2 linked regions of the Nothobranchius furzeri genome follow. The protein of the gene in region 1 interacts with the protein of each later gene in a pairwise test. Links are inferred from orthologs where the notes say so. Each region holds a gene or a part of one and is shown on either strand. Other genes may lie near its edges. The genes, in order: phf1 and pdlim7.

What was found.
Region 2: the proteins of phf1 (region 1) and pdlim7 interact in binary tests that used the Homo sapiens proteins (3 or more experiments, as listed by UniProt). The two-hybrid records come from large-scale screens. The link is inferred for Nothobranchius furzeri from reciprocal best matches to the Homo sapiens genes PHF1 and PDLIM7.

The regions. Positions count from the first base shown.
Region 1 is NC_091745.1:62,283,567-62,287,393, reverse strand, and holds part of phf1 (PHD finger protein 1), read left to right. Parts: intron 1-1,477; coding exon 1,478-1,556; intron 1,557-2,628; coding exon 2,629-2,744; intron 2,745-3,827. UniProt on the Homo sapiens protein: Polycomb group (PcG) that specifically binds histone H3 trimethylated at 'Lys-36' (H3K36me3) and recruits the PRC2 complex. Involved in DNA damage response and is recruited at double-strand breaks (DSBs).
Region 2 is NC_091741.1:103,108,690-103,112,516, reverse strand, and holds part of pdlim7 (PDZ and LIM domain protein 7), read left to right. Parts: intron 1-2,310; coding exon 2,311-2,426; intron 2,427-2,729; coding exon 2,730-2,816; 3' UTR 2,817-3,827. UniProt on the Homo sapiens protein: May function as a scaffold on which the coordinated assembly of proteins can occur. May play a role as an adapter that, via its PDZ domain, localizes LIM-binding proteins to actin filaments of both skeletal muscle and nonmuscle tissues.

The sequences.
Region 1 (3,827 bases):
GGGCACCATTCCCCTTTTTCCGGGGAAAAATTGAATCCAAAACTCTTATCAGTCTTTCTTGAAGTTCGTAGAATCCTTGGAGCAGAGACTTCTCTTCGACACAACAAAGCTACTGGACACAAAAATCTGAATTTTATAACATTTAATTAACAATTTGTCAAATGAATAAACAGTGGAATAGATGAATAATAACCGTGTGATATGATTGAAGATGGATGTGTTTGCATGTGATGGAGGATGTATGAATGGGGTCCTTTGTTCTCACAAAGGAGTAGTGTGTATGTGTGTGTGTGTGCGTGTGTATGGATTCAAAATGGAGTCTTGAATACAAGATGGCTGACCCCTTTGTCTGGCTAAAGTGTGGGTGGCAACTTGCACTTTAACTTCCAAAGCACTTAGAATCAGTAGTAACTTAACCTTAAATCACTCAAAACATTTCAAAAGATCATGAAACAACACAAAAGATTAATCACAAATTAATATCTTTTAGTTTCAGCCTGGCCATGACAGAAACCATTTTAAGATACCAAACAATGATCAATAAGCAGTTTATTCTTCAAAATGACCCGACGGACGTGTTTGGGACGAAAGAGGAAAACACGAAGCTACTTTTAAGCAATAGACGCGGTTTATTGCTTATTCGAGACTATAGAGGAAACGGGAGAAGGAAAGAATGAGAGAAAGAGATGAGTTTCTGATCACCAGAACAGTGAAGCGTCCCTCACTGTTTTGATTTGACGGTTCTCCGTGTTTCTCCGCAGCTTTCAGCGTCATCCGCCGGTTTGATGCTTTCTCCGTTGTTTGGCTCCACGAGTGTTTCTCCACGGCTGGACACAAAGAAAACGAAGTTCCTTTTGGGCTGAGTTTGACAACTTACAGCGTTTCTGAGAGCTGGATGGAGTTGTTGTTTCCCTCCGCAGTTCTGTGTCCTCAAACATCAGCTGGAGGGGAGCAGAAACGAGCAGATCTGATGGGCTTGCAGTTTAGTTTCCAGCAGTTCCGTGGCTCAACTTGGCACTTAGAGCTTCCGCGTGCTCAAAGAAGTCGGAGCGTTCGACAAGCGTGTCCTCACCGCCAGGTATCCTGGGCAAAAGAACAAGGTTTCTTTGTCTCTGCTGAAGATTTATGGTCTTAGTTTGCGGGAAAACTCCACGGCTTCCCGCACATGCGCAGAACGTGTTTCTGGTACTAGGCGGTGACGTCATCACAATGCTTCCGTGTGCAAAGCATCATGGGAAATGAAGTTTCTTGGCGCTGATGTGATTATTTGCTTTTCAGAGCAATTTAAGCACAGTCATTTTGGAGAAAATCACTGCATAGTAATTTCCTCATGAGGTCAGACCCTCAACAGATCAAAGGAAATACCCTGACATGTTAGAACCACCATCAGCAGACCCTCATGCAGCCATGATGAGAAATCAAACCCATCCAGAGAGGAAGGTGTTTGCTAATGTATGCGTGTGTTTTCTCCCCTCAGCCCATTGTCACTACCCTGCCAGAGAAGAGTTGGAGGGCCGGAGTCTCGTAAATCAAAGCGTCGCATCATGGAGACACAGGTCAGCGCCTCTGTCTCAGGAGGAGGGGGGTGGGGGTCTGGGCCACTATTCCTGGCTTACATTTTCTTCCTCTTATTTTTTTTAAATGCACCCAGGTAAACATCCTTGTGTGACCCAAATAACCCGTCATTCTCACAGAGCCGTCTCCTTCAGCCTTGCTGCTCCTTTCACACTCCGCTGCCTCTGTGTTTGTTCTCTCCTCCCAGCAGGAACCTTAAAGCCTGCTAATGTGTTAGAGAACACAAATAGATTAAAAGTAGCTTTGAGAAACGTGGTGGCGCTCCGCTAAAATGTATAATTCAGATCCAATCTTGCTAAAACCTGCTCTTGTATTTCAGCAACACCTGCGATTCAACGACACATTTATCAGCATCATCAGAGCCGATTCCCAGCGGACGGCTCTGAAACAAGCAGTCTCACATGTGCTGGTTACTATTTTTACTCTGCATTCTTAAGCGTGAACGTTCGTCGTGCTTTGTTCCTCCTACACATCGCTCTGATCTGTGTATGTGCACGTAGTGAAATCCTGGAACAATACGCTCTGCACTGCTCCTGTTTTTCTCTCCACTTTGGCTCATCCAAGCTCCATTGTTCTCCTCTGACGGATGCTAATCTCAGTCTGTCTTGGAGGAGTAGGTCTGAGGAAAGTGAGATGGGTAAGAATGCTGATATGCGGAGTCTGGGATCACTTCCAAGTGCACTTTGCAGTCAATTACATTTTGGCCAGGTGGCGCTGGCACCTTGACAGCGCTACTCTGACAGAACGTCTCTGTTTAAAGGTGCAGACATAAACCGAAGCCTCTGATTAATAATCTCCCATCATAACCGCCATGCTACAGAAGTGGCTCGGTGTGCTGCTGTGTGGTGACCACCTCCTAGGTGATGCTTTTACTTTGTATGAGTCAGCAGCAGCTTCCTCACTAACCCTTTGGGCTGTGGACAGTTTACAAAAAACACAAAATACCCCAAAACCTGAACTTGACACTCGAGCGAGCACAAAGGTAACAGTTTTGGAGGGACTGATGATGTTGGTTCAGACACCAGCTGATCCCTGTGTCTCCCCTCTGCCCAGACCTGTCAACCCCCGGTTACTGCCAACCCTGTTGAGCTGCTGCCATGTTGCCATGGCTACATGGGAGGAGCCAACCTTTACAACTCCAGGAAGTCGGAGGAGGAGCTTAACATGTGGTAAGGGCTGTCTGTACAGGTTGTTTTTGCTTTGTTCTCTAATATTATTATTTATTCTTATTTTTTTTCACCAGCTGAAGGTTAACCACAACACTTTGTTTTGAAATATTACTGATATGTGATCATTTCTTATCTTATGTTTTTTAACAACACTGGAAAAAAATAAATAAATACAACATACCTGAGTGTGGCTCACTGCAGCTCACTACTGAATGCTTTTGTTTAAATATTTATGTGGTATTTATTTTCACAATAACAAGAAATGTATTTTTTGCATTCCTATAAAACATATTTTCCAGGTCCACTTACATTTCAATTAAAGCTACAACCCAGAGTATTTTTTTCTCAGTGTCACCATCTAGAGGCTCACAAGTGTATCTCACATTTTTTCTCACCATTTTTGTATTCACAGCCAAAATCAATGCCTCTCGTTCATGAACGTGCACCTCTAGCTGGATAACAGCATTAAAATGCACTGTTATATTACTATTCTCACTTTATACTGTTCATTTATAAATTCCTATGTACAGTTCCTTCTAAAAAAAATTAGCATATTGTGATAAAGTTCATTATTGTCTGTAATGTACTGATAAACATTAGACTTTCATATATATTAGATTCATTACACACAACTAGGGATGCCCCGATCAGGTATTTTTGCCCTCGAGTACGAGTACGAGTCATTTGATTTTGAGAATCTGCCGATACAGAGTCCCGATCCGATACTTTTGATACATAAAAAATAAATAAATAAAGAAAAGGAAGAAACAGTTCCATAATGTTCCTTATTTTTTATTTAATTCACTTTTTATTTTAATCTGTGAGGTAGCTTGAACAATCAATTAATAAATAACATAAATTCTTCACTTTTGGACTTTATTGCAAATTTAAAAAGTCTTAATATAAAAACAGATAGCACTTCAACTTAAAATACCTGGCAGGGGTCTATTTTGCCTCGGCCCCCAAAATGCTTAGATACGTCCCTGGGCATGGGATGGAGTTTTGAAGATGATCTGAATTGTATCAACTATATAAATACTACATGCTGATAAATTATTGCCTTATACAGGTACAAATGTGTAG
Region 2 (3,827 bases), on another chromosome or scaffold:
CTTGTTATTTATAATGTTATAATTGATATTAAGTGAATGCACAAAACCCAAAGATAATAGAAAATACGATAAAATAAGCCTGAGTATTTTCTCCCACAGCTCAGCTCTGATATAAACAGATGTCTGCTTAAACTGGACAATATCAAATATAAAAAGTATTCACAAATAACTAATCTTTTAATAAAAAATAATAGTAATCATTTTTTATTTTAATGTAGATTTTATTTCATTTCTAAGGTTTGGATGTCTGTGAACATTACAGAATATTCTGATTGGTGTAAAGAATACATGATAATAGTATTAACAGGTCTGGATCTAAAGTGAGTCGGTCTGAGGTATAAAACTCTGCCCTGAGCCTAAAGCCCTGCAGATATATTTAGTTTCTATAAACATCAATAACAAACAAGTAACAGCAGCTTGATTCAACTTTGTTCCTTAAATTGAGTCACATAGTTTTGCAAGTTCTGTACACTCACACACTCAACAGCAGCTCTGCAAGATGATTGGTTATTTTGGTAACTAGTGACATCAGTACTGTTCTGGTACTGAGCAGCATGAATGCATCAGAGGATTTCACTACAGTCAGTGAAAGCTTATTACCATGCTGCAATTCTAACATTAACATAAATTAAGAGTTTTATCAAAATAAGCCTCTCATAACGGTTTGTTAACTGAAAGTAAATGGTTTGTTGCTGATTAACCCACATAACTAAGTAGCTCAAATCAATATGTGGCTTTTAACAAGAAGGATAGAATGGATGTTATTGCTTAGCTAGACTCCAGGGGAATAAGGACAAAAACCCAGATTAGAGTCATTATTCACCCTGACCTGAGCTTCTCTGGACATATTGAGGCAAAACCTAAATCAGCGTTTTATCACCTTCATCAAATATCAAGAGTCAGAGGTCTCATGTGCAGACCAGGCTTAGAGAAATTCATTCATGCTTTTATTTCTAGTCAGACTACAGCAAAGCAACCGCAGCTTGTTCAGAACGCTGCTGCTAGAGTGTTAACAAGAACTAAGAGAACGGAGCACATCACTCCTGTTCTTAGATCCCTACACTGGTTACCAGTAAACTACAGAATATATTTCAAAGTGCTCCTACTAGTTTATAATCACTCAATGGCATCAGACCAAAATACATGTCAGATCTCATTCTGTGTACACACCCAATAGGGCTCTGAGATCCTTAGGGAACAATCAGCTGGTAGAACCTCGGGTCAGAACCAAACATGGTGAAGATGCATTTAGCTACTATGCTGCTCACATATGGAATCAGCTTCCCCATGACCTCAGATCTTCCCCAACCCTAGTGCTGTTTAAAACTAAACTAAAACCCTAATGCACTCATCAGCATTTTGAAATCATTGTTTATGTTGCATCATCTCCACTGTAACCTGCATGTAACTTTGTCTTCTCCTTTAGCCCTAAACTGTAATTCTATCTGTGTGTGTTTTAATCTGTGTTTTTATATCATGTCCTGCTAATTGTAAAGCACATTGAATTGCCTCTGTTTTAAATGTGCTCTATAAATGAAGCTGCCTTGCCGTTATTTCAGAGTGTAGTTAAACACGTCTGCCGCATTGCTGTGGGCATGCATGCTGTGAGCCTGTGTCATGTTTTTCATCTACTGCAATGTGTCGAAAGTCAGTTTATTCCGTACATTATTTATTTTGGCTATTGTGAATAGCGTGTGTGCTCTTCCATTATACTGTAGATGATTTGTTTATTTTTTGAGGTAGGAGTGGAGGCTCTGATGTGAACTGCTGCTTTATCAAAGCAGAAGCCAGTAACCCGAGTCCTCATATTCTGAGTAATGCCTTCAGCTCTGATAAACATTTTGCTGCCTCAGCATCTTGAAGGGATTGTACAGCTCTCACCCCCCCCCCCCCCCCCCCCCCCCCTTCAGAGTGAGCATTATAACCCAACACTTTCCCAGAGTTCTCATGATGAAAGAGTCCGGCAAAGCAAGTCAAGTATTAGGAGCAATTTCCCCTCGTCCTAATCCTCCCCTTAAACTGTGGGAAGGAGCTGCTGCTGCACAGTGAACTCCACACATCCCCGCTAGAGGAGCTTGTCAAAATTAGTGCAGCTTCATCCCTCATCACCACTTCATTTTGGGCACTGGAGTGGCTTTGTGTTGGGAGATTTCATCTTTTAACTGCACAAAGTCCAGGCTGCTTCATATTCTGTTCATCAGAACTTCCTGTAGGGAACAGATGTGAGCAGAGGTCACAGAGACGTCTCCACCTGATCATTTGATAAAACAGATTTTGAATGTGAATAATCTGGTTGTATTTCCTCTGCAGACTATGAAAAAATGTTCGGCACCAAATGCCACGGATGCGACTTCAAGATTGATGCCGGTGATCGTTTCCTGGAGGCCTTGGGCTACAGCTGGCATGACACATGCTTCGTCTGTGCTGTAAGTCATTTTGATAAATATCCTTTCTTTTGGGCTCTCTTTGGCCTGTATCTCTTGTGTCTGTCGCAGTACACCTGAACAACCTGCCTGGTACTGGGAACCACAAGCTTCCATTTCTCCTTTAACCCCTTACCTGCTGTACACCTGTTTCTCTGTGAGGAGTGAATACAATCCAAATAAATAATGACTAGGTCTGGTCTGCTGAAAACTGTGCAAATTCATGTAGGCACTGGTGAAGCCTGATATCTGCTCAGTCTTGGTTTCTCAATCTGTTTCTCTGTCTGTCTCTTTTCATCGTTAAAGCTCTGCCAAATCAACTTGGAGGGGAAGACGTTCTACTCCAAAAAGGATAAGCCCCTGTGCAAAGGCCATGCTTTCGCTCAAGTGTAAGAGAGCCAGCTACATCTTCAGAGGAAGAAACGCTTCTCCCTCCACCTCCTTTTTATCCCTCCCCACCCTCTGACAAACTCTACACCTCCCATTTTGCCAGCCTCAGAGTTCAGCACAAACGTCTTTCTTCCACGTTGCAGACTTTTTTGTACTCAAGACTTATAGCATTATCCACTTTTATGCTTTTTGTGTATCACTTTTCTCACTGCAGAACCTTTGCTGTTGAGAAGAAACATGGTGGCTGGGTTTCTGCTCAAGTGGACTCCCTCTTCACCAAAAAAAAAAAAAAAAATATATATATATATATATATATATATATATATATATAGTGAAGAATTGATCCTCTTAGATCTTAAACCTAAATAGGTGTAGAAATCATTACACTGTCAGATTTGAGTGATAAATGAAGAACATTCACAATCCTGCAATGAGACAAATTCATTGAAACTGTGTGAAATATTTAGGTGTCAAACCATCCCAGTGGCGTCTCTGGCATAATTTGATAGGTGGGGCACAAAAACACCACAGCTATGACACACACACACACGCGCACGCACACACACACACACACACACACACACACACACACACACACACACACGCAACTAATTTATGCATGCAATCTGACTTTGATCCATATTATAAAAACCTCAAAAACAGCACTAACCTACACAGTGGAGATACAAATATTTAAATTCAATTCAACAATATCCCTTTCAGATATGAGATTGCAAATAAAGGGTCACTCACCAGTGTTTACTTCTCCAACAGGAAAGATGCGCTACGGTCTTTCATCTGAACACACTCCTCAATAACTCAATAATTTTAGCCATTCATCTCTAAAAGTTTAGACATTCTTGCTTTAAAGTCTATGAAGCATTCACAGCTTATATGCTTATGTGAAGCTTTCATAAACACCTTTGGGTGGACAAGTTCTCATGTCCAAATGACTAGACACAAAGAAGTATAAGGAAAAAAAATAAAAAGGAAAAAATAAGAAAGAGAAAGTAA